4 linked regions of the Caenorhabditis elegans genome follow. The protein of the gene in region 3 interacts with the protein of the main gene of each other region in a pairwise test. Each region holds a gene or a part of one and is shown on either strand. Other genes may lie near its edges. The genes, in order: lys-8, cdk-14, C18B2.5 and arrd-13.

Region 1 (3,547 bases), on a different chromosome or scaffold from region 3:
CCTAAATGTTTCCGACAGCCGAGAAAACAGAAACTTGAAGAAGATTCGTGTTCATCTTCAATTCTTCGAATTATCAAGAAAACCACACCCAGTCTTCCAAATAGATCATATACAATGATTAACCAAAACATGGAACATCCACTACAATGCTGCTACTGCTTGGAAGTGTACGAAAAGCGATACATGACGCAAGTTCCAAAAACCGAGCAACGAATTGCCAGATGGGTGGCAATATTAGGAGAACAATTCCGTATACGTCTTCGAATGAAACCTGCAAATTACATGTGTCGAAAACATTTCCCGCAAGCGGATTTCAGTTCTCGTGGACGACTTCTTAAAACAGCTGTTCCAAATGTTGTTTCCCAGGAGAAAGTACTGGCATTCAAGCTTGAAGGAAACACGTTCGTTGAAGTCAAAGAAGACAATACGAATATCAAAATGGAAAAGGGAACGGACTCGGAAATAGATATAGAAAATTAGAGCCAAGCTCGCATTGTTTTGTTGTTATTTGTTTTTAGATTCTCGTGTTTTGTTTTTTTGTAATAAACTTTATTTTCAGATTTTCATAACATATTGGGGGTACAGTTAGATACAAAATATAAGTAGTCAAATTCCACTTATTTTCGGAACTGATAAAATCTATTGACTTCCTTGAATGAATCCTCCAGCGTAGATCTTTCCATCCTCTTCAACAGCGTCAGCGGCCTTGAGCATAGTTCCAGCAGCATAAACATCTCTGTTGACAGTGAACTGGCAAACTTGCTCAACTTGAGCGAATTGTTTGACAGATGGAGTAGTCCAGCATCCGAACGCGCGGAAATCAGCAAAACTGGCCGGGGTCTCTCCATTGACACCACCTCCAAGGACATTCCAGTACCAGAGGAGAACATCATTTCCAATGCTGCTCCATCCGTTGGTGATCTGGTTCCAGTCGTAGTAGGAAGTGTAGATTCCGACAGTCATTCCATATTGCTGTAAATTATATGAATTTTGATATGAAATTTGTTGCAGAAGTATGAACTAATCGGTTCAGTTTAAAAACGTCTTAACCCAAAGGTCTTATCAGATTAATCAATGTTTTAGACTATAATACGAATCATTCGAGTTTTCGTATTTGAATGTATTTCAATTCCTTGAGCAAAAAATCAAGCTTCTACAGGAAACTTACTCTAGCTCTTGACACAATACTGTTGATAAAGTTGACATTGTTATTAGCATTGCTTGGCCAGTTGGTTGGAGAAGTGACCTGGATCCATACAGATCTGATTGTTATTCCTCTTGCAGTCAATCCTTGGTAGATCTCATCCAATTGTTGGTATCCTTGCTTGCTTGAAGCCGGCTGTGGAGTCATGTAGATCTCTGTTCCGAGTCCAGCGTTATACGCATTCTGAATAGTATTGCAGGAGTTGGTGTCGAAGGATCCTTGTCCAGCTGGGTTGTATGCACTGGAAATTCGATTTAATTGTTATGGAGTTTTAGAAAATGTTCATCAAATTATGAACGTTTGGAATCGAAAAATGAATTAATCAGAAACGAAAGCAGGCAAATGTTTGCCCAAGTTTGGCCAAAAATATTAAAAAGGTTCTGAAGTGACAATACATGACCAGAACTTGTTCTGGTTTAGCTCAAGTTTAATTCAACTGTTGACAATATCTTTACACTTGGGCCAACCTTGGGCAAAAAAAGATTCAACTTTTTTTTATAAATAACAATTTATAGATAGGTAAATCATAAAATCTTTTTCAATTCTTACCGGACAAAGACTGCCGAATAACCAGCTTGTTTGAGGCACTGAAGCTGGCTCAATGAAACTGGAACAGACAAATCAACAGCGAAAGCATATGAAGCCAAATTTGGTGGAACTCGTGGAGCAGCCTCAGCAATGACTTCTCTGAATTTGACTGGAAGAGATGAGTCAACGAATGGAAGGACCTTGACGGAGACTGAAGCCGAATGGCAAAGTACTGCCAGTACTGACAAAAGAGCCACTGATTTGAGAAGCATTCTAGAAAATGTTCAACTTGAATGAGTTAAGAGAAAATTATTAACAAAAAGAACAAAGAATAAGAAACCAAATTTTATAAAAATCAAATACTAAACCGAAATGTTGAAGAAACTGGAGTGGTTATCATGATTTATAGTCTTTATCAAAGAGCTGGCAAGTACCGCTTGTCCATCTGAATTTATAATTTCGGAAAACATTATCATGATATCACACTCTGTTATCAGTAACTGTGTACACACTTTTATGTCATTAATGTCGATGAAAAGAACATCACAAATTATGTGGAATACCGGTAATTGAGCGTGGGCGTTTTGATGATTTTTTCTAGGTTCAAATTCTCGTAAATGACAATTTGTTGTCTTTTATTAAATTGATAGTTCATAAGTGAACACAATTTTTTTCTGACTAACAGATAGTGGTAAGATTTTCAAAGCGATTATGCATATGTTTTACGTTCAACTTTGACCATAACAGCGAAGAAAATTGAAAGTTCTTGAAAACTAGAACTGTAAAATGTATGATATTCTCCTTCAGCACTATACCAATTCTTTTATACAAAAATCCCATTTGCAGCTGAATAAACATTCTCCTTCTTGTTCCATAATTTTTCCCATTTCACTATATTTTTACCGTTTAACATGTCTGTTTAAACTGTACTAACATCCAACGATAGCCCCTGTGAGCAATCCAATTGTTTAAAAATCATTAATCTATTTTTAATGTGAATTCAATTAGTCGAGATTTGTCTTTGGATGGAATAAAAACGAAGATGACGAGTTTAAGAAGTGATGTCATTTCCAGAGGAACAGAGAGTAAAGAATTCGAATTGTTGAAACAGCTGAAATTGTAGATCCATTTCGAGATCAATTTAGTATTTGATAATGAAAAGTGACGTGTCTGTCTATTCATTGAACAAATAACAAAAACGATAAATTTTAGTCCTGAAGCCAATTATTGGTATTTTCTAAAAACTTTGAAGATTTTTGATCCATTATTAATTTCAACTAATTCTTGGCCAAATTGTTGAATTCTTCAGTTAACGTATATTTACTTAACTTTAAAGTGGCTTCAATTATATCCAGGGACCTCTTTAGGCTCTCCTACCTACATTGGGTTTTCAGTATTTTAGTTTCCATCCGTACTTGCCTGCCACATGTCTACCTTCATGCCTGTCGTCGATGTTCTGTATTTCTTTCGTGATCCTACTGCCCGCCTGCCTGTCTATGTGCCTACCGCCTATTTCATTACTTTTAATATTATGCCACATTTTGATGTTCCAGATATCATATAGCTTGTTCTATATCCAATGTTCCTTTGAAAATTGAAAAATCAGAAATTCAATGATATCGTAAAAAAACGAATATATATTCTTTTTTAGCTTCTTCCTGTATTTACTTATGTTTTTTCCTTCTGAATACACACACATTTCTCTCTCACTTTATTATCATAAATCATCATAAAAAAATCATTGGTGACGTCAAAGTTTACATTTTTGGAGGTGCTGTGAAGAATTGTTGAAAGTCGAAGTTCTCGGTGTGATAT
Region 2 (7,512 bases), on a different chromosome or scaffold from region 3:
AAACCATCGAGACCCGCAGAAAGCAACGCCGCTCCTGCCAACAAAGTGACGATTGCCTGAACAACGTCGAGTACGCAGTCTTCCAAAAAGTCTATGCAGACAAGAGAACCAAACGAGAAGCCGTGTTCCGTCGTAAGAAGTGCTCGAGGTGTGGAGTCTCTGGGCTCACGCCACATCGTGTCAAGAGAAACTTCGGGCAGCCGAATATCAACGTCTCGGAGCAGAATTGCATGGCATTCCCACAGTGTCGGCATAGAGTGAAGAGAAACTTTTTGGGAGAAGACTGTAACATCTGTACACAGGATACTGGTCTGAAGCGGAGGAAGAGAGACTTCGGAACAGCGGTAGGTGTTGGTTTAATGAGCTTCCTTATCTTAAAGTTTTCAGCAATGCTACCCATGCCCAGGAACACGTTCATAACTTGAAGCGACTCCCTCCGATTCTCACATATCACATAAATACCACCTCGTAATAATAATTCAACATGACTAATAAAACAAATAAGTACATACATACATTTATATTAGCTTTTAGCACCCGTAGCAATTTGGAGCAAGAAAATATGTGTAAAGAAATTGGAGATGTAGTAGATTTGGTCGTTATAGTGATCGCAGATCTTTCAGCTCTTTGAGCCGGAATATTGACTGGCTTGGAGCCAGGAGATGAACCTCGCGGGGGAATGAGGCAAAGTAGGGGTGAAGCATTGCACTGGCTGCGGAGACACGGCTTTCCGGGCGGAGCTGTAATTTTGAGGGTTACAAGATAGGTGTAGCTCGATGTCGATTCATTTAGACTAGCATTGCAGCCAGGGCTTAAGCTTTCGGCTTGAGCTTGCACTCAAAGATTGCTGCTCAATATAGCTCGCGAAGACTGATTTGTCAAAGATTAGACTAGTAGGCCTGGACTGACTTAAAGGTGGAGTAGCGCCAGTGAAAATTTTGTCAAAATACATACATAATGATCCGAAAAAAAAACCAAATTTCATAATAAAACAATCCAAAAAATTAGATTTTTCACAATTTCAGGTCAAATTTTTGGCAAACTGCTAAAATTTTGAAAAATGAGCAATTGAGGAAATCTAGAGCAATGTCGCATGTTCCGACCCCTACAATATTTTAATACAAATAATTAAAACACAATTACAGTATAAAAATGTAGGAAAAAAAATTTTTTTTTTGTTGGTCGACTTCCAAAATTATGAGTGGTAAAATTACAGTAAATAAAAAATTTTCAAAATTTTTTTGAAACGTTTTATTATGATATTCGGTCTTTTCGGGACTAAAGGAGTGGTTTTTACAAGTCTACTTACCTGAAGAAGCATCCCCAGAAGTTCCTGACCAGTCTTCAGAATCTTCGTGAACATCGGGTTCACCGCGATGAACGACAACTCCCGATACCTGGGGAACAGTTCAGGGGTGTAGCCTGGTAATGTCTTTACCTGAAACAAACATCTTTATCTCTAGATTTTAGATTCCCTCACCTCCGGCCACTTTTTCTCGTCTGGAGTACCCCGAATGCTGAAGATCATATCCAACTGGTCCTTGGTGCCGGGGTAGTGAGAGTCCTTGGATCCCGGGAACAAAGCGGCGCCCGTGCAAATTTCAGCGAATATGCAACCGACTCCCCTGCAAAGTTAGTAGATATAGTTGGTACCTTTTATAAAATAATATCCTCCTACCACATATCCAGGGAAGTTGAATAGTCGGTACTTCCCATGAGAACATCAGGCGGGCGGTACCATAAAGTGACCACCTCGTGAGAATATGTCCTACTCGGCACAGATTTCGCCCTGGCTAGACCAAAGTCTGCGAGTTTTAAAACACCGTCTTCGTCGAGAAGCAAGTTTTGTGGTTTTAAATCTCTGAAAATCAGTTTTTATCAAGAGTTATGGCCGCAACGGCGCCTCCGCCGACCCCAGCGGTCGCCGCGCCGGCCTCCGCGGAACCCCGAAAATGTCCGCCGCTCCAAACAACCACTTTTTTGCACTACGTTGCGCACACACCAGGCTACTCATTTCACGCCAAGCTGCGGAACACCGAACGTGTCCGCCGCTCCAAATAACTCCCTTTCGCAATACGTTGAGCACACACCAAGCTGCGGAACTCCCAACGTGTCGGCCGCTCCGAACAACCACTTCTACGCACTTCATTGCGCACACACCAGGTTACTCATTTCACGCCAAGCTGCGGAACCCTGAACGTGTCCGCCGCTCCAAACAACTCCCTTTCGCAATACGTTGAGCACACACCAAGCTGCGGAACCCCCAACGTGTCGGCCGCTCCGAACAACCACTTCTACGCACTTCATTGCGCACACACCAGGCTACTCATTTCACGCCAAGCTGCGGAACCCCGAACGTGTCGGCCGCTCCAAATGACCACCTTTCGCGCTTCAACGGCGTCGGCGTGAGGCCCGAATTTCGCGCCTCACTCTGCTGGGAGCCCTATCAACACTAGGGAGCAGTTTGAAAACTAACCTATGAAGAATCTTCTTCCTATGACAAAAATCGAGTCCGCGGAGAAGTTGAAAGAGGAGAAGCTTGATGTCAATGCTATCCAACCCATAGACGTTCTGCTCCAGGTACTTGCTCAAATCCATTTTCATGTACTCGAACACAAAAGTTAGCTGGTGGTGTTGATAGAAGATGTCGTGCAAAGAGACGATATTCGCATGACGGAGGTTTCTGAGAAGCGAGGCTTCACGGATAGCGGTGAATGGGAGACCTTCTTGAAATTGAAGTTTGATCTCTTTCAAGGCGACTATGGATCCGTCAAGTCTGAAAATATAATTTAGTTTGGTAATATCAGCTGTTAAAATATCTAACTTCGATTCGCACTTATACACCGTTGCATAAGATCCTTCCCCCAGCTTGTCAATTCGTTTGTACAGATCATTCACATCCTGCGGTGTCACTTCCTCCTTCGCAGGAAGCGTTATCGTATTTGGATCGTAGTGTGCTGATCGTGGTCGACGTCTTCGAAGATGTGTGAAGTCGGCCACAGTGTTGCTAGATGGTGGTGGTGGCATTGATGGAGAGTTCTTGTTTAGGGGCACGGTTGACATGGTTTCAGATGGATTGTTGGAGCGGGAACGTGATTGGCGGCTGAAATGGTATTACTAGGGTTTGATTCGGAAAATTTTCTTAGAAAAACAGTTTGGCGGGAAGTTTAAATTTTCTGATTAAAAATGTTGGCGTAAGTGGTGTCGAAGTGCCCCATTTTGGTTTGATCTACAAAAAATGCGGGAGTTGAGACAAAGACTTTTCAACTGATTTTGCAGGATTAAGCTGACGTCACATTTTCCTGGGGGAAAAATCCCCGCATTTTTTGTAGATCAAGCCGCAATGAGACAGCCTGACACCACGTGTTGACGGGATATTTAAATTTTCTGAGAAAAACATTTTGGCGGGAAGTTCAAATTTTCTGAGAAAAACATTTTGGCGGGAAATTGAAATTTTCTGACAAAAAAATTTTGGCGGGAAATTGAAATTTTCTGACAAAAAAATTTTGGCGGGAAATTGAAATTTTCTGACCAAAAAATTTTGGCGGGAATTCAAATTTTCTGGGAATTAACTTTGGGGAGAAGTTCAAATTTTCTGTAAAAATTTTGGCGGGAAATTGAAATTTTCTGACAAAAATATTTTGGCGGGAAAATCAAATTTTCTGAGAAAAAAAAATTTTGGCGGGAAATTGAAATTATCTGACAAAAATATTTTGGCGGGAAAATCAAATTTTCTGAGAAAAAAAAATTTTGGCGGGAAATTCAAATTTTTTTTTTTTGAAAAGAAAATTCTACGGACCGGAAACGGCCCAACTACGGCTCAAGAGCCGTCTCGGTCGGTAAATGTGTTTTTTGCTCTAAATAATGCATTTAACGACGTAAAAATGCTTAAATTAGCCAACTGGTATCATAGGTATTAAAAAAATTCGTTTTCTTAAAATCCATTTTTTCCTCTTAATGGCCATTTTTTTACATTCCCCGTAGTTTGCCCGTAATTGGTCCGTCCCGCTTTTCATATCCGTAGTTCACCCGTTAATGGTCCGTTCCCGGTCCAAGATCCGTAAACGGACCGTACCGGCTTTGCCTGTGGTCAGATATAACTAGTAAGTCAAGTGGTGTCAGGCTGCCCCATTATGGTTTGATCTACTAAAAATGCGGGAATTTTTCCCCCAGAAAAACGTGACGTCAGCACACTCTTAACCATGCGATACCAGTTGAAAAGTCTGCGTCTCTTCTCCCGCATTTCTCGGAGATCAAACCAAAATGAGGCACTTTGACACCACGTGGTAAGTTATAACAAACATAACAAGGTGTCGAAACTACTGTAATTATAGTCTTACTTCAATATACAACCTAATAAGAATCTCCACCACTTACCTCAAAAAGCTGAAAATATTCTTATTATGATGTTCTGGTGTGCTTCCACTTCCGGACCCCGATGATGCCCCATTCACATGATTGGAGTGCCATGATTGTGTCATTTCATTTGTTCCGTTTTTCGAGATCGGAGATTTGGTGGAGCCTCCTGAAAAAACAGAAATAAATGTGGAATTATATGGGGGCTCATATGTTTTCGGAACTAACCTTTTTGGGAGAAGACTCTGGAGAGCATTTTTGTGTAAACTGACTAACTTGTGCCACCCCCCGCACCCCATAGAATAAATTGGCTAAAATTTCGAAAAAAAAAACTCGCCACCGCCGTTATTCTTGTATTTCTTCTCCTTATTCCGACTCCGACGCAAAGTGAAAATTGACGAGGACGGCTGGAATAATGTTTTGTGTTTGTGTCTTGTGGAAGAGATGCAGAATCGCCGGAAGTTTAGAGGGGGTGGCGTGACTTACTGACCTTCCGGGTGCTCGGCGAGCCGTCCACGTCCTGAATTCGTTGCGGCGACATTGTGGTGATCTGGAATATGTGGAGCGTAATCGAAATATTTAGGCTTAGGCTTAGGCTTAGACTTAGGCTTAGGCTTAGTCTTCGGCTTAGGCTTAGGCTTAGGCTTAGGCTTAGGCTTAGGCTTAGGTTTAGGCTTAGGCTTAGGCTTAGGCTTGGGACTGGGCTTAGGCTTGAGCTTTGGCCTAAGCTTAGGCTTAGGCTTACGCTCAGGCGTAGGATTAGGCTCTGGCTTTGGCTTTGGCTTAGGCTTAGACTTAGGCCTAGGTTCACGCTTAGGCCTAGGCTTACAAGAAATATCCTCATTTACCGACCGACTGTGGCCTAGGATTTCAAAAAATGACCCTTTTTGAAAAATCGAAAAATCGAAATATCGACGAATTTTCGTTTTTGAGGCGTTTTTTTAATTTCAATTTTTATAATTTTTTTCGGTTTTTCGATTTTTCTTGAAAATACCAAACTCACCCTATGCAAGTTCTCCGACGACTTCGAACTCCTAACAGCGGTGAGCTGTGGATGATGTATCATAGACAGTGAGCACGATGCTCTCATAGGCCTCTCGGCCTCCTCCAGCCCAAACCATACTCCAATATGCGAGGTTATTTTTCCCCACATTTGATTGAAAGATGGTATCTGCAAGTGAAATTTTTGGGTGGGGAAAAAGAACGTGAACGAATAATTTGGAGCAGCGGGGGGGGGGGTGGAAAAATGAAGAGCTGCTCGGAGGAGGGAGCCGTACTACGAAATGAGAAGAGGAGAAGCCGGTGTGACGGCGGGGCGTTAATGGGTTACTAAAGCCTCCACATTCCCATTTTCAGCCGTTTCGAAACAAAGAAAATAGAAGAAAAAAAAGACAGATGAAAAATGACTTGGGTGGGTTCGGTGAAAAACAGGAAGCAGGAAGAGTGAGGAAATTGGATGGTGGAAGAGTTTTGGCATTTCTAGGTTACCGGGAATCTTTAGAGACACCTGGGCTGTCCCATTACAGTTTGATCTACAAAAAATGCGGGAATTTTTCGCCCAAAAAATTTTCAACAAATTTAGATATTTTTTACATTTTTTCCCCAATTTTTTCAGCCATATTTCAGCCATGACTGTCCTTTTTTTCGGGCAAAAAAAAATTTTCTCTGAAAATGTTCGAAACTACTAAATTATGCAAGAAGACAATTTTTAAGGTTCGGAGATCAATTTTGAGTCCTCTAGCTTCAAAATTATCCATTTTAGAAGAGTTTTAAAATTGTAATTTTTTACAAAAATTGCTCAATTTTGCCACTTTTTAATAGTTTTCTAAACCTAGATTTTCTGAATTCTGCATATATGAATTACCCGTTTTCAACAAATTTAGACAATTTTTTTCATTGTTTCCAAAATTTTTTTCAGCCATTTTTCAGCCATTACTGTCCTTTTTTTGGGCAAAAAAAATAATTTTTTGAAATTACATTACACACCTTCCATGTTTTCTTCGTAGATTTAAGGTCCATGTCCACTGCTTGGTGGAAGAGTTTTCCGAGTTTTTAGGTCACCGGAGAATTTGAGTTGGAAGAGTTTTCGCATTACTCCCCAACTGTGATAGAACTTCAAAAATGAATATGCAGGGACATCACTCAAATTTGACATGTCAGTTTAAAGGAACACGCTGATTTTCCGAGTGGGTCTCGCCACGATCCAGGTGCTAAATTTTCACAGTTTTTAGTATGTACCTAGTGGCTTATTTCTAAACAACACGCGCATAACATCGGAGTGTCGTTGCATAGGCCACTCTAAAACATAAACAAATGTGTGAAGAAAAATTAAACACAACTAGCACGGATTTCTGACGTCCCTCAGAAGTTGAAATGGAAGAGTTTTTGCCGAACTAGGCCAGGCCATATTCGGGGTAGATTTACGGCGCGTCGCGGCTCGATTTTAGTTGTAAAACTAAATGTATTTGTCCGTGTGGAGTACACGACTTTCCCAAGCGTTGTCCGGCAGGCGATTGTCAATGGAGCGCGAAAATTCAATGAGGAAGGCCAGAACCCCGTGGGATTTTGAAATTTTTTTCAGATATGACAAAAAATGACAATGCCAAATTTAAAATGCATTAATAGCGGACAGAGGAGAGAATAAGTAGGGAAAAAAGAAGAAAAAAAAAGACGGGCGGCGCTTCTCTCATAAAATAGTAATTGGTCATTCTAAGTGTGCCTATTGTTCCTTATTTTTCGCTTTTTCTTGGCTCATTTTAGCTCAAAAACCAAATGTCGAAGAGTTTCTAGAGAACTAGGCCACGAGAGGGAAAAACTAGGTCACTGGAATTTCTACGCTAAAAATTTGGCCCAGCATATTTACCTACGTGGCCGTAAAAGAGAAAGTTCGGCCACTAACTTTTTCGGGCTATCAAAAAAGGTTTACCAAAACTTTATAAAAAAGAAACCACTTGTGGAAAATGGCCGTGCATACTAAAGTTCGGCCACAAACTTTTTTAAAACTTTTTTGCTCAAATTGAAGTACAGGACCACTTCGATGGGCGGTTTTCACTACTTGGCCGTGTAAGAGAAAATTCGGCCACCAACTTTTATTCAAGGCCACACCTCCAAATCCTTCAAAGCTTCAAAAATTTTCTACGTGGCCGTGTACGAAAA
Region 3 (6,506 bases):
TTGTTTCTGTATAGTTCAACACATTATTATCCGGCCTAAGCTCCAAAAAGTTCGAATGTTATGTTCACAATTTTAATTCACTTTAAAATGAGTATCATCATTTGCTTTGAATTTTAAGGAACTTTTGAAAGTGATAGTATCTATCAATCTAGGCTTTCTCTGTACACTTTGAAAATTAAAATTTCCTGAAATTCGTTTTATACACTAGGTAATCATATTTGTAAAACTTGACACTTGTAATAGCGTTCCTCTTAACTGATATGTCGAAATTTCTAGAATTTCCTATAATATTATTTGTATTTTTGATTTAAATATCAATGAACAATATTATTCTGCCAAAAATTATATTAGTTCCTTAGCGAAAAGAAATGAAGCTGAAAAACAAAAAAAACGATTGATAGGGAATGTTTATCGAGTCGCGTTGGATAAAAATGTTAAGTCGAACAATAAATACAAAATGAGTGGATCGGAGATTAAATTGAAACCATTGAATCAGAAAACACAAATAATAATACTAATAATAATAAATTGTTTTTTAATACAACACTTTATCAGCAAACACTGGAGCTTGTTCGACTTTTTGTCCCTTGTTGTGTCGGAGGATGGCAACTAGTGGGTGGACAGTTTCTTGCAAATCCTGAAGTGAAAGATTTAATAAGGTAGTTTCAGAAGCATAGATAATAAGCTGACCTATCAAAACCGCAAAAATTAATATCATCTCTCACATTCGAACATTATTAATACAATTTTGAAAAGTGAGTTAATATGAGTTAAAAACTTGATATGAAAAAAGCTTAGAACTAAACCGAAAACAAAAATATATAAATATGTTTAAAAAAATTATTTAAATGTTCATAAGCACATTTGAAAAATTTTATGTCATAATTACTATAAAAACCGGAATAGTTTTCATGGAAAGTTTTCTATTTTGAATATTTGAAAGCCTTCCCATACATATGAAATAAATTAAAATTATGCTGAAGTTGGAGTTCAAAATATGTTAAAGTTTCATCAGATACAGTTTTTTCTGCATACGTTTTTCAATATAAGTTTGAATTGAATTTGATCCCGGACGGGTTGAAAAATAATCTTGAGACGCCTCAATTTATACTTATGTTCTTTGCTTTCATGTGATGATTTTTGAAAGATGATTTTTGAAAGCCAAAATTACTTTTCAAATAAAGTGTACTATTTTCAGTTATTTTCAACTAAACCGAGTTAAATACGCAGACTGAGACACCTAGTATTTTCAGTTTTAAATTTCACTTCCCCAACCCATAATATTTACTCTGAAAAGATTCTCCAACGAAGCTGTTCCGTGTGTCCAGTAGAGATTATGTTGAAGTTTGGAAATTCCTGTTGGGAGTGGTGCGAATCCCGAGTTGTTAACTTTGTAGTATTCAAGGAAAGAAATGTTGGCCTGTGTGAGACTTTTGATGGCAATTGGCTGTGGGAGAACTTCAGAGTTGGTGATAATCGGCAGAACGTTTGTTTTCAAATCGTCTCCGAACATTCTCTTAACATCAGCCAACTCATAAATGAACGGCCATCCCAGTTGATTCTCGTCGTGTCTCAAAACAATTGAGATTGCATCAAGACGGAAGGATCCAGATTTGAGAAGCTCCTAAAACGTGAAATTTAGAATTTTTTGCAAAGTTTCAATAGTTCACCTTCTCAAACCACTGCTTGATAAGTCGCGAGACCGTCTTGTTGCCCATTTTGTCCTCAACCCCGGGTGTGTCAACAACAGTGACGTTATAAGGAAGAACAGTGTTGTTGAAAACGTAGGCGGTGAGTCCAGTGGTTGCGTTCACATGCTCGTCCAAAACAAATCTGAAAAAAGAAGAATAATGAACATTATAACATTGAAAATTAAAAAATTAAGTTACCGGAAATCATTCTCCTTCTTAACATCATACAAATAGTTCATCATGCTGGTAATAGCAGAAGTCTTTCCAGAATTAACTGGACCGAACAGGAGCAGAGTCTTGTCATCGTCACTTGGTGGAGCATCTCCTCCAATGATAACCTTGTTGATCTTGTCATTCTTGGAGAAGTTTTCAACAACATAGTATTGTGGAACAACGAGCTCGTATTTTCCGCTGCTTGCAATCTAATAATTTTTAAGAATATTAAAATAATTTTCATATGAAAAATAAATGACTTACATGTTCTCCTGCTGCCTTTTGTTTAGCAGCTAGTGGGCTGACACGAGCTTCCTCCTCTTCGTAGATGCTTGAGTCCACGCTCTCTTAAATATTCGATATACGCAATAGAAAATTTAAATAATATGTTTTACATAGAAGTTCGCACAGAAAACGTTGATTGTACTCAGAAAATTGAACAAACAGAAAATTGAAAACTGCCACACATTTTTGCAGGTGCATGGTTTTTTTTCTTTTAAATAATTTATACACTTTTGTAGAGTGTGTGCAGTACACCTGGCCCGAAAGTTTTAACCATTTTAAAAATGTTCGTGATTTTTTTAAATCTACATTAGGCATGGGATTAGTGTTTCCTGAGCTTAAAAATGCAAATGTAGTTCAAGTTTTGATTATATTATCATTTTTGAAAGAAACGACTGAAAGCGTATTGGATAATAGTTTTGGGTATGGTATACTACACAAGTTCCTCTAGAGCATTGTGATCTTTTCGGAAGTGTTTTGGAAAGCCTCAAACTTTTGTAAAGCTTCTAACATTTTTGAAAGATTTGAAACAATTTTACACTTTCAAAAAAAAAAAAACTATCACGGTTATGTCAGCAAACCGCAACCTCTTCAAAAGCTCTATATCAAATTTTACGAAAACTACAGTAATCCTACCGTACTCCTGCAGTACTCCTACGGTACACTCACTTCGACCTCAGAAAAATGAAGCCTGATTATCTTGTTATTTTGGCAAGTTTGAGTGTTTGTTAAGACCGTGTTTATAAGTCTAATTAAATTCTCTAAAACTTACTTGAAGAATGGCTGGATTTCGGCTGTGGCGGCAAATGATGATGATCGTGCTCATGGCTGTACGAGCGAACGTGGTAGCCTTGTGGCTTCGCACCTTGTCCAATTTTGTTGACCTTCAATGAAGCTTCACGAGCCAAATTAGCATGAGTCATGCGGTCATTGTCAGCGCGTTGACGGTCAACTTGATGAGAGAGCTGAGCTTTTTTCGCGTGAGCATCTTCAACTTGGCGTTGAAGATTTCTCAGCTTCTGGGTTCCACCAGTGTGGAACGAAGCTTGGGTATGGGAAGAGTACACACTTCCTGGTGACTGTAAAAAGACTTTATTAATGATAATGAAGATTTTTTTGATAATTTTCTCACGCTGAGCTCAGAACGTGGGCGTTCATATGCCACTTCGTCATGATGAAGGTTGATTTCTTCACCATGGTAACGGTCATGCTCATCGTGAACATCGAATTGTCCGAAACGGCTTTCAGCAAACGATGCGGAGCTATCGATGGTGTTGGAACGATCACGGTGTGGTTGTGCTAAAATAACTTTTTTAAACATACATTGATTATATGCAACTTTTTTTAAAACTAACTAGTACTATTTCGGATACACTTACGACCCGCTTGAGTATAAAAATAGTCAAACATTTTTGAGCAGACAAGAGTATGACTAGTTATGTTCAATGTGCATAACAAAAGCCTACACCACTGTTCACTCCTCAATAACTGACTCATAGCAGAAATATGACCGTTGCAACTTATTTACATGCTTCTACAATTTTTTTTATTTCCGTCTTGAAAAGTGACACTCACCCGTTCTGATTGGATATTGATGATTCAGATTGAAGTGGTCACTTCTCTCGTCTTCATAATCCGGCTGCGGCTCAGATCCGTAGGCGTCGTAGTGCTGAAAATTACGAACTTACTTTGAATTCAAAACAATCTATTTTCAACACAATGCAAATAACTTGCATAGCTTTGAGAATTGATATTCAAATCGTTGAAAACATTGTTCACGACGAGACTTCCAGTTCGTGCAGCGGCATGCCTCTAAAACGGACCAACTTACCCGAATAGTTCCTAAAAATTGAAATTTACCTTGGCAGATCCGTTTGACACTACGCTTGCGTTTTGTGGGTGATGTTCGCTTGCATACTGATTTCTGTGCGAGCTAACATGAGATGTAACATGTGACGAGCTCACATGGCTTGGAGCTTGAAATGGTGGCTCACTGACGATGGACTCGTGATCCTCACCATACAAAGCTTCGTCGAGATGACGGAGAGCATCGTCATGTCCTCCGTGCAAGTTGACAGTTGGCAGTGTCACAGCGGAAAAGACCTTTAAAACGTTGTTGTGAAAAGTGGTTCAGTTAAAAATATAGTTACCGAGTTCATCAAATCGTCATTCACTGGAGTTGCATCGTAGTAATGCGAAATTGGGGTGACATTGACTGGTGGTGGTGGAGGTGCAGATACTGCATGTGGTGGATGGGACACCACAGTTGATGTCGCATGTGATCGGATTCCGTTTCCAATCTGGAAAAGTTTACAAGTATTATGAGCTCTATACCATAATGAACTCTTACCGGAACCTCTCTCACAGTGGATACACTCGAAGCAGTTGTCTTGCGGCTTCTATTTCCAGACTGAAATTATTTTCAAAATTTATTGGAAATACAAAAATTCTGCGAAATTTTTGGTTACCTCGGAAGATTTCACGTTGGTGGCAGATGTCAACGCTGGAAGGTTGCCAAAGACGTCATCCAAGTTGATGCTGACAGCCGTGCTTCGCGACATGTCTGTACAAAAGACACAATAATAGGAGTTGTTAAATTGTGGGAATGGAAAAATCGAGAACGATAAACAGTGAGAATTAAGAAAAATAGCAAAACAAACTTATGCTACATATAAAATATGATTATTTCTGCAAACTTTGCTCAACTATCATCAAAGACAAACCATTCCTATTGTACTCCCCGTGAAATTATATTTGAAACAGAAAAACCTGGCTGAAAACGGAGATGATTGACCGTGACGAAAGATCGGTAAAAGGCAAATTGCACGGTGTAATGGAGTGCAAAGACAGAAATGGCAGAGCACTGCTTAAAAGTTTCCTGTCAAACCGTGTCGCTTATCAATGCGTGCCACGCATTACACCTTCTCGCGTCAGGCGCCAAAAACGTATTGTATATGCAGCTAACAACCGTAACAATGGAACGAGAGTATTGACGAGTTAAATCAAAATAAAAAATCGGTGGAGAGCGCTGAACTGAACTGAGAGTGAGAGGGGATAAAAACAAAGTTCGCGTGTTGTTTGCCGAGACTAGCAGATGGTTGGGTTTTATTTCTACAAAAATGAGTAGATGCCATCATAATTTTGGAACGGGTCAAATTTTACAATACATCCCAATTGAAGGACATAATAGTTTACAGTTTAATTTGACTAGAAAATGGAACGAAAGTTCTTAAGATACAATCTTTTAGTGAAAAAAAAATCAGTTTCCAAGGCATTCCTCGATTTGAATCCAAAATAGATTTAAGAAAACTTTTTTGTTTTACCTGAAAGTTCAAAAGTTCAAAAAAAAAGAAAAGAAAACATAGCTTCATTATTCTTTCAAAAATTGAAAATGTAAAGAGTGGAATTTCTTCTTTGTGATAAGTTTCTTTCCAGTTATAGAACCCTGAAAAAACATGATAAACCACACGCATATCAATTCTCTGCCAGTTAAGTTTCAGGACTGTTTGCTCGCATGTAAAGGACTGAACACATTATTGCTTTTATTGAGAACAACATTGCATAAGATTGAATACTTTTGAAAAGAGGGGAAAAAAGAGATGCTGAACAAAAAAACGTGAACTGAAATTGGAAGAAAAAGGTGAAACCCATCAAATACATGTCTAGCGGAGGAAGGTTGGAAAAAAATACAAGCGAAAACAATTGAAAAATGAATAAGATTCTCCCGAGTTGATACCTTGCATTTGCGCATTTTTTTTTGATAGAAAATGTGTTTAATAATCTAGCATGAGAACACAATTATTTAAAAAAAAAAAACTCAACAAAAAAAATTAAGACCATGGTTCTTAATTTTTAGGTACCCAATGAGTAAGCACTTTGTTTCAAAAAAACGCAGGATTTTTTTTAGTTTTGAGTTCAATTAAAATAAATTATAATTTCAAAACAAAACGGTTCCATAGGAAAAAAGTTATTTTCACAATTGCTTTCGTTGGTCATAATTTTATTAGAAAATAAATTCAGTTTCAAATTTTTCAAAGGAATACTAACAAGCCGTGGTGATGACGAATAATGTAAAAATGACCTGAAATGAAAAAATGTGCTGAACAAAAACAAATTCAAAAATTTTCATGGCTTTTTATTTTATTTTTCAATTTAACTAAAGTTAGTTGAATTTTGTTTGAAATTTTGAACCGCCATAAAAATTCTTTACACGAAATAGTTACAATTGAGCATATTCTGAGTCTATTCGTTCAAAATACCCAGAACCGTCAGTCCTATTTTTTGAGCAAAACGCAAATGCAAGATAGGCAAAAGATCAGT
Region 4 (5,251 bases), on a different chromosome or scaffold from region 3:
AGAAATTTTCAATTCCGGCAATTTACCCATTTTCCAGAAATTTTCAATTCCGGCAATTTACCCATTTTCCAGAAATTTTCAATTCCGGCAATTTGCCGATTCGCCGGAAATTTCAATTCCGGCAATTTGCCGCTTGCCGGATATTGTCAATTCCGGCAGTTTTCCGATTTGCCAGAAATTATCAATTCCGGCAATTTGTTAATTTTCCAGAAATTTTCAATTCCGGCAATTTGTTGATTTTCCAGAAATTTTCAATTCCGGCAATTTGTTAATTTTCCAAAAATTTTCAATTCCGGCAATTTGTTGATTTTCCAGAAATTTTCAATTCCGGCAATTTGTTAATTTTCCAGAAATTTTCAATTCCGGCAATTTGTTGATTTTCCAGAAATTTTCAATTCCGGCAAATTGTCGATATGCCAGAAATTTTCAATTCCGGCAATTTGCCGATTTTCCAGAAATTTTCAATTCCGGCAATTTGCCGATTCGCCGGAAATTTCAATTCCGGCAATTAGTCATTTTTTGCTCAATGTCAAGTATTCGATTGAAGTTTAATAATTTATGCATTAAAATAAAACAAAAACACATCCAACCAGGCAAAAAAACATTTTAAAAGCAATGATAATTTTGAACAATATTCGGCAAAGCAGGGCAGAGTCCGATGAAAATCCTTCATTCTTCGGATTATTCCGGTGGTGGCGCTGTCGGATTATAAACTGGCAAATTGTTGAAAACCGGGTATTTTGGAGCAAATGGTTGCTCATTTTCATCAGTGTTGAGCTCGGTTCCATCTTGTCCAAACATTGATTCTTCGTAGGATAGTGGTGGAGCTGGAAAAATTTGCAATTTTAGAGAATTGTGCTGGACTTCTGAGTAACTCACCACTTGGAATCACTACAGTACCATCATCTTTGCTAGGATATGGGACATTCGGAATAGGATACATTGGCATGCTGGCAGCTGGATATGATGCATCACCAGCTCCCTTCTCCGAGCCATCTGCCATCGGCAAGAATCCATACCCTGGTGGTGGAGCAACAACCCCTCCTCCAATCGGAGTTGGCAGGATCTGTGGAAGATTCGGATCCTGTGGATAGTAGGCTGGTGGAAGGAACTGCCGAATAGGCACTGTTCCAATCAGGATCCCCATTTCACAATCAACATCACTCCCGAATGTTGAGCTGGTCTCCACGTGGAATTGCACAATGTACTCTACAGTAATCACCGGTGAGAACTGATTGATGGTTGGAGTTACAGACGGAAGACGGAGCTCCATCGCAAATTTGTGCTCATTCCTGGGAGCCACTGTCATTTCCTGGCCATGCTTGACGACGGTCTTCGTGTCGTGTTTGGTTTCCTGAAGCTGTCCGGACATTCCAGTCTCATAGCCTCCGCCATAATGGAAGGTGGTACCGTTTCGATATGCAATGAACTTGCACTGCTGAATAATTTTCGCCTTGACTTCGGTGACGGGAACGGAGGAGTGATTTAGAATATGGATGTTCATGGGAACAGTCTCGCCGGGTACGAATCCAGTTTTCGGGATGTTTACACGAAGTTCGAGATATCCTTTTTTGAAGCAGCAACAGCCAAGGTTCTCGCTAGCCTGGTCGTTGATTTGGGTGAGTGCATGGGGGATCACATTGAGGTCGATCAGTGGGGAAACTGAAAATGTTTGAATTTTTGGCTTAGGCTTAGGCTTAGAATGTTAGTCTTAGACTTAGACCGTTAGGCTTAGGCTTAGGCGTAAGCTTCGGCTTAGGCCTAGGCTTATGCTTTGGCTTAGGCTTAGGCTTAGACAGTGGTCTAGATTTAGGCTTAGGCCTATGCTTAGGCTTAGGATCAAGGGTGTTCGTTTTTCGATTTTTTTGAAAATCGAAAAATGTTTAAAAAATTATCGTTTTTCTGATTTTGCGAAAATTTTTTAGATTTTCCAAAATATTAGCACAATATTTTGGCCATTATTCTTATTTTTAGAATTAATTTTGATGTTTTTTTCTCATCAATATAAGCAAAATTAGATTTTAAAAAAAATCATATTTTATGGTTAATTTTCTTAACATTCTTTTCGATTTTTCAATTTTCACTGAAAAAACATCGAAAAATCGAAAAATGCCACTCCTGCTTAGGATTAGTCTTAGACTTAGGCTTATGTTTAGATTGTTAGGTTTAGGCTTAGGCTTCAGCTGCGTAGGCTCAGGCTTAGGTTCAGGCTTAGATTGTCAGGCTTAGGCTTAAAACTGTAGCCCTTACCAGTGATGCATCGCTTCTTTGCCTTATCCAATCTCCATGGCCGATCCACTTCAGCTGTCACCGAGTATCTCAAATATCCATATTTTCCCTCAAAGCTTGGCGGAACGTTGAGAGGAAGATTATAAGAAAATGACCAGGCGTATTCTCCAGCTGCTAACTCGTTCTGACAAATATTCAGATATCTAATAATTGTAATTTTCAACCATTCTTCATTTTGAGCTACCGAAAATTTCAGCAAATCGGAAAATTGCCGGTTTGTTGACTTTGCCGGAAATTTGAAAAAACGGCATATTGCCGACTTAGCCGGAAATTTAAAAAAAAAACAGCAATTTGCAGAAAATTTGGAAAACGGCAATTGCCGAATATGCCGGAAATTTGAAAAAACGGCAATTTGTTGACTTTGCCGGAAATTCGAACAACGACAATTTGCCGACTTTGCCGGAAATTTAAAAAAAAAACAGCAATTTGCCGAAAATTTGGAAAACGGCAATTGCCGAACTTGATGTAAATATGAAAAAACGACAATATGCCGAATTAGCCGGAAACTTGAAAAACGGCAATATGCCATCTTTGCCGGAAATTTGGAAAGCGGCAGATTGTCAATTTGCCGGTTTGCCGATTTTGCCGGTTTGCCTATCTATCCCTGATTCAAAATACCCTACCGATCCATCTTTGCAAGCCCACAGAAGCAATGTATAATCCAGGTAGTTCACATTCGCAGAGTAGTGCACAGATTGCCGGTGGTGGCTCACTTTTCCGTCGGCGTCACTGGAAAATTCGAATTTTATAATTTTTTAGTGTTATTCGAAAATTCGGAAATATTTATTGATTATTCAATTTTCCATTTTAAAAAATTTGAAAAATAGCTTTTTCGTCAAAAAAAAAATGAAATTTTCTACAGAAATCTTAAATTTCTTACACTCTGCGAACACTCTCATAATCCGTCCAACTGGTGTGAGCCAATCCCAAAATTTTGATATTCACCGCCCGAGCCTTGTATTTTTCCTTCGTCGTTGAGAGCACCACTCGGCCGGAAATCGGTTGTCCCGGGAAGAAAACTTCGTTAGGCTGGTCGAATATCACGTGAAGCTCCGTTTCTGGCATGATAACCCTGGAACTTAGACAAAAATCGTTAAAAAATCGTTAAAAAATTCAAAAAACCGGAAGAAAATCGGTGGAGAGAACACTGAAAATTTAAAAAAAAACGAATTTTTGATTTTTAATATTTTATTTTAAAAAAATAGAAAAAAATTATGCATTTTAATTGAAAAGGAAAGGAAAAAAACAATTTAATTTAATTCAAAAAAAAGGAGCGAAATAAATTTTGCAGAAATTGTCATAAAATGTGGTGTTTGCGTACTTGAGAAGGAGTGTGCGCCTTTAAAGAGTACTGTAGTTTCAAAATTTCTTTTTTAATTGATTTTAGTTTTCAATAACTAATAAACACATTTTCGATAAAAAAAATGTATTAATTTATGGAAAACATGAATATAGCAAAAAAAACTCTCAAATATAAAAATAAAACTATGAAAAATCCATAGAAATTTGAAATCGCTGCAGCAACAAAAGTTTGAAATTACAGTACGCTTTAAAGGCGAACGCCTTTTCCTTTCTATCAAGAATTTGTCGTGTTGAGACCGGTGTTTGGTATTTGTGGCTCAAAAATCGCGAAATCTCGTGTCTGGGTAATAGAATAAATTTTAAAAGTTCAAATTAAAAAAAAATTAATAACTGATTCTAATTTCTTAAACGATTTTTTACTAGATTTTTTTTTACAATTTCATGAAAATTACGGAATAGCCGCTCGAAACAAAGCAAACAGACACATGCAGTATTGAAGGTCAAAAAAATCGCACTCCGCAAGAGCCGCAGAGAAATAAAGGGAACAGCGAGGATAAAAGAACGGGGCAAAGACCAACGTTTTTCCATTAAACTTGTGAAAAAGAAACGTTGCTCACAAACAGGAAGAATTGATAAGCTAAACGGAAGAAGACATAGGAGAAGCATTACTGATTAAATAGGAAATAGTGATAAAATTTCTGACATTCGGGAAAGTTAATTTGTAAGGTCAAACAACGGAGAAAAATATGCTAGAAATGGCCGAACCCGGGGTGGGCGGCAAACGATTTTTCCGGCAAATCGGCAAATTGCCGGAATTGAAAAAAAAATCCGGCAAATAGGGGAACCGGCAAACTGCCGATTTGCCGAAATTTTAGGAAAATCGGCAAATTGTCGGAATTGAAATTTCCGGCAAATCGGGAAATTGCCGGAATTGAAAAAAAAAATCCGGCAAATAGGGGAACCGGCAAACTGCCGATTTGCCGAAATTTTAGGAAAATCGGCAAATTGTCGGAATTAATAATTTCCGGCAAATCGGCAAATTGCCGGTATTTGAATTTTCGGCTAAGCGGCACATTGCCGGAATTAAAAATATCCGTCAAATTGGCTAATTGCCATAATTGAAATTTCCGGCAAATCAGGAAATCGGCAAATTGCAAATTTTGAAAAAAAAAAGGAAAAATTGAAAATATCCGGCAAATCGGGGAACCGGCGAATTGACGATTTGCCGAAATTTTAGGAAAATCGGCAACTTGCCAAAAATGAAAAATCCCGGCAAATCGGCACATTGCCGGAATTTAAAATTTGTCGGAAAAACGACAATTTGTCGGAATTGAAATTTCCGGCAAATGGGCAAATTGGCAAAAAAGGTCAAACAATGGAGAAAAATAGCTTTAAAACATGCTAAAAATAAAAAAAATTCATTAATTTCATCGTCCGTTTTTATAGGACCAGTTTTTTTTTAAATAGAATTTCAAAACCCAGCCTATTATATATTTGTTAGGAATAAATGCAAAATCGGGGTGACTAACACACACTACTCAGAAAAATATTTCCTCAGACAAAACTGTTAAGTAAAAAAAAAACTAAAGAACTAAAAAAAAAAAAAAAAAAAACTAAACTCTAGCCTAAATCCCTGAAACCTCAATTCCTATTGTTAATT

The links.
Region 1: the proteins of C18B2.5 (region 3) and lys-8 interact in a two-hybrid assay, tested with the Caenorhabditis elegans proteins (one large-scale study listed by BioGRID).
Region 2: the proteins of C18B2.5 (region 3) and cdk-14 interact in a two-hybrid assay, tested with the Caenorhabditis elegans proteins (one large-scale study listed by BioGRID).
Region 4: the proteins of C18B2.5 (region 3) and arrd-13 interact in a two-hybrid assay, tested with the Caenorhabditis elegans proteins (one large-scale study listed by BioGRID).

The regions. Positions count from the first base shown.
Region 1 is NC_003280.10:5,584,636-5,588,182, reverse strand, and holds lys-8 (LYSozyme), read right to left. Parts: upstream 2,006-3,547; 5' UTR 2,005-2,005; coding exon 1,754-2,004; intron 1,446-1,753; coding exon 1,169-1,445; intron 973-1,168; coding exon 640-972; 3' UTR 532-639; downstream 1-531. Other genes in the region: C17G10.13 (THAP-type domain-containing protein), read left to right, coding at 1-480.
Region 2 is NC_003279.8:841,237-848,748, forward strand, and holds cdk-14 (Protein kinase domain-containing protein), read right to left. Parts: upstream 5,528-7,512; 5' UTR 5,510-5,527; coding exon 5,360-5,509; intron 5,256-5,359; exon of another isoform or gene 4,935-5,255; intron 4,907-4,934; coding exon 4,847-4,906; intron 4,764-4,846; coding exon 4,694-4,763; exon of another isoform or gene 4,613-4,693; coding exon of another isoform or gene 4,585-4,612; intron 4,526-4,584; coding exon 4,378-4,525; intron 3,104-4,377; coding exon 2,825-3,103; intron 2,777-2,824; coding exon 2,477-2,776; intron 1,862-2,476; coding exon 1,679-1,861; intron 1,626-1,678; coding exon 1,481-1,625; intron 1,439-1,480; coding exon 1,310-1,438; intron 741-1,309; coding exon 600-740; 3' UTR 506-599; downstream 1-505. Other genes in the region: ZC123.1 (Sperm mitochondrial-associated cysteine-rich protein-like), read left to right, coding at 1-344, 388-420.
Region 3 is NC_003284.9:3,606,344-3,612,849, forward strand, and holds C18B2.5 (G domain-containing protein), read right to left. Parts: upstream 4,750-6,506; 5' UTR 4,748-4,749; coding exon 4,655-4,747; intron 4,597-4,654; coding exon 4,537-4,596; intron 4,487-4,536; coding exon 4,337-4,486; intron 4,290-4,336; coding exon 4,047-4,289; intron 3,999-4,046; coding exon 3,921-3,998; intron 3,856-3,920; coding exon 3,762-3,855; intron 3,486-3,761; coding exon 3,319-3,485; intron 3,266-3,318; coding exon 2,959-3,265; intron 2,252-2,958; coding exon 2,169-2,251; intron 2,114-2,168; coding exon 1,890-2,113; intron 1,834-1,889; coding exon 1,671-1,833; intron 1,625-1,670; coding exon 1,289-1,624; intron 638-1,288; coding exon 536-637; downstream 1-535.
Region 4 is NC_003280.10:13,756,524-13,761,774, reverse strand, and holds arrd-13 (Arrestin C-terminal-like domain-containing protein), read right to left. Parts: upstream 3,368-5,251; 5' UTR 3,355-3,367; coding exon 3,170-3,354; intron 3,019-3,169; coding exon 2,913-3,018; intron 2,414-2,912; coding exon 2,251-2,413; intron 1,663-2,250; coding exon 880-1,662; intron 828-879; coding exon 682-827; 3' UTR 540-681; downstream 1-539.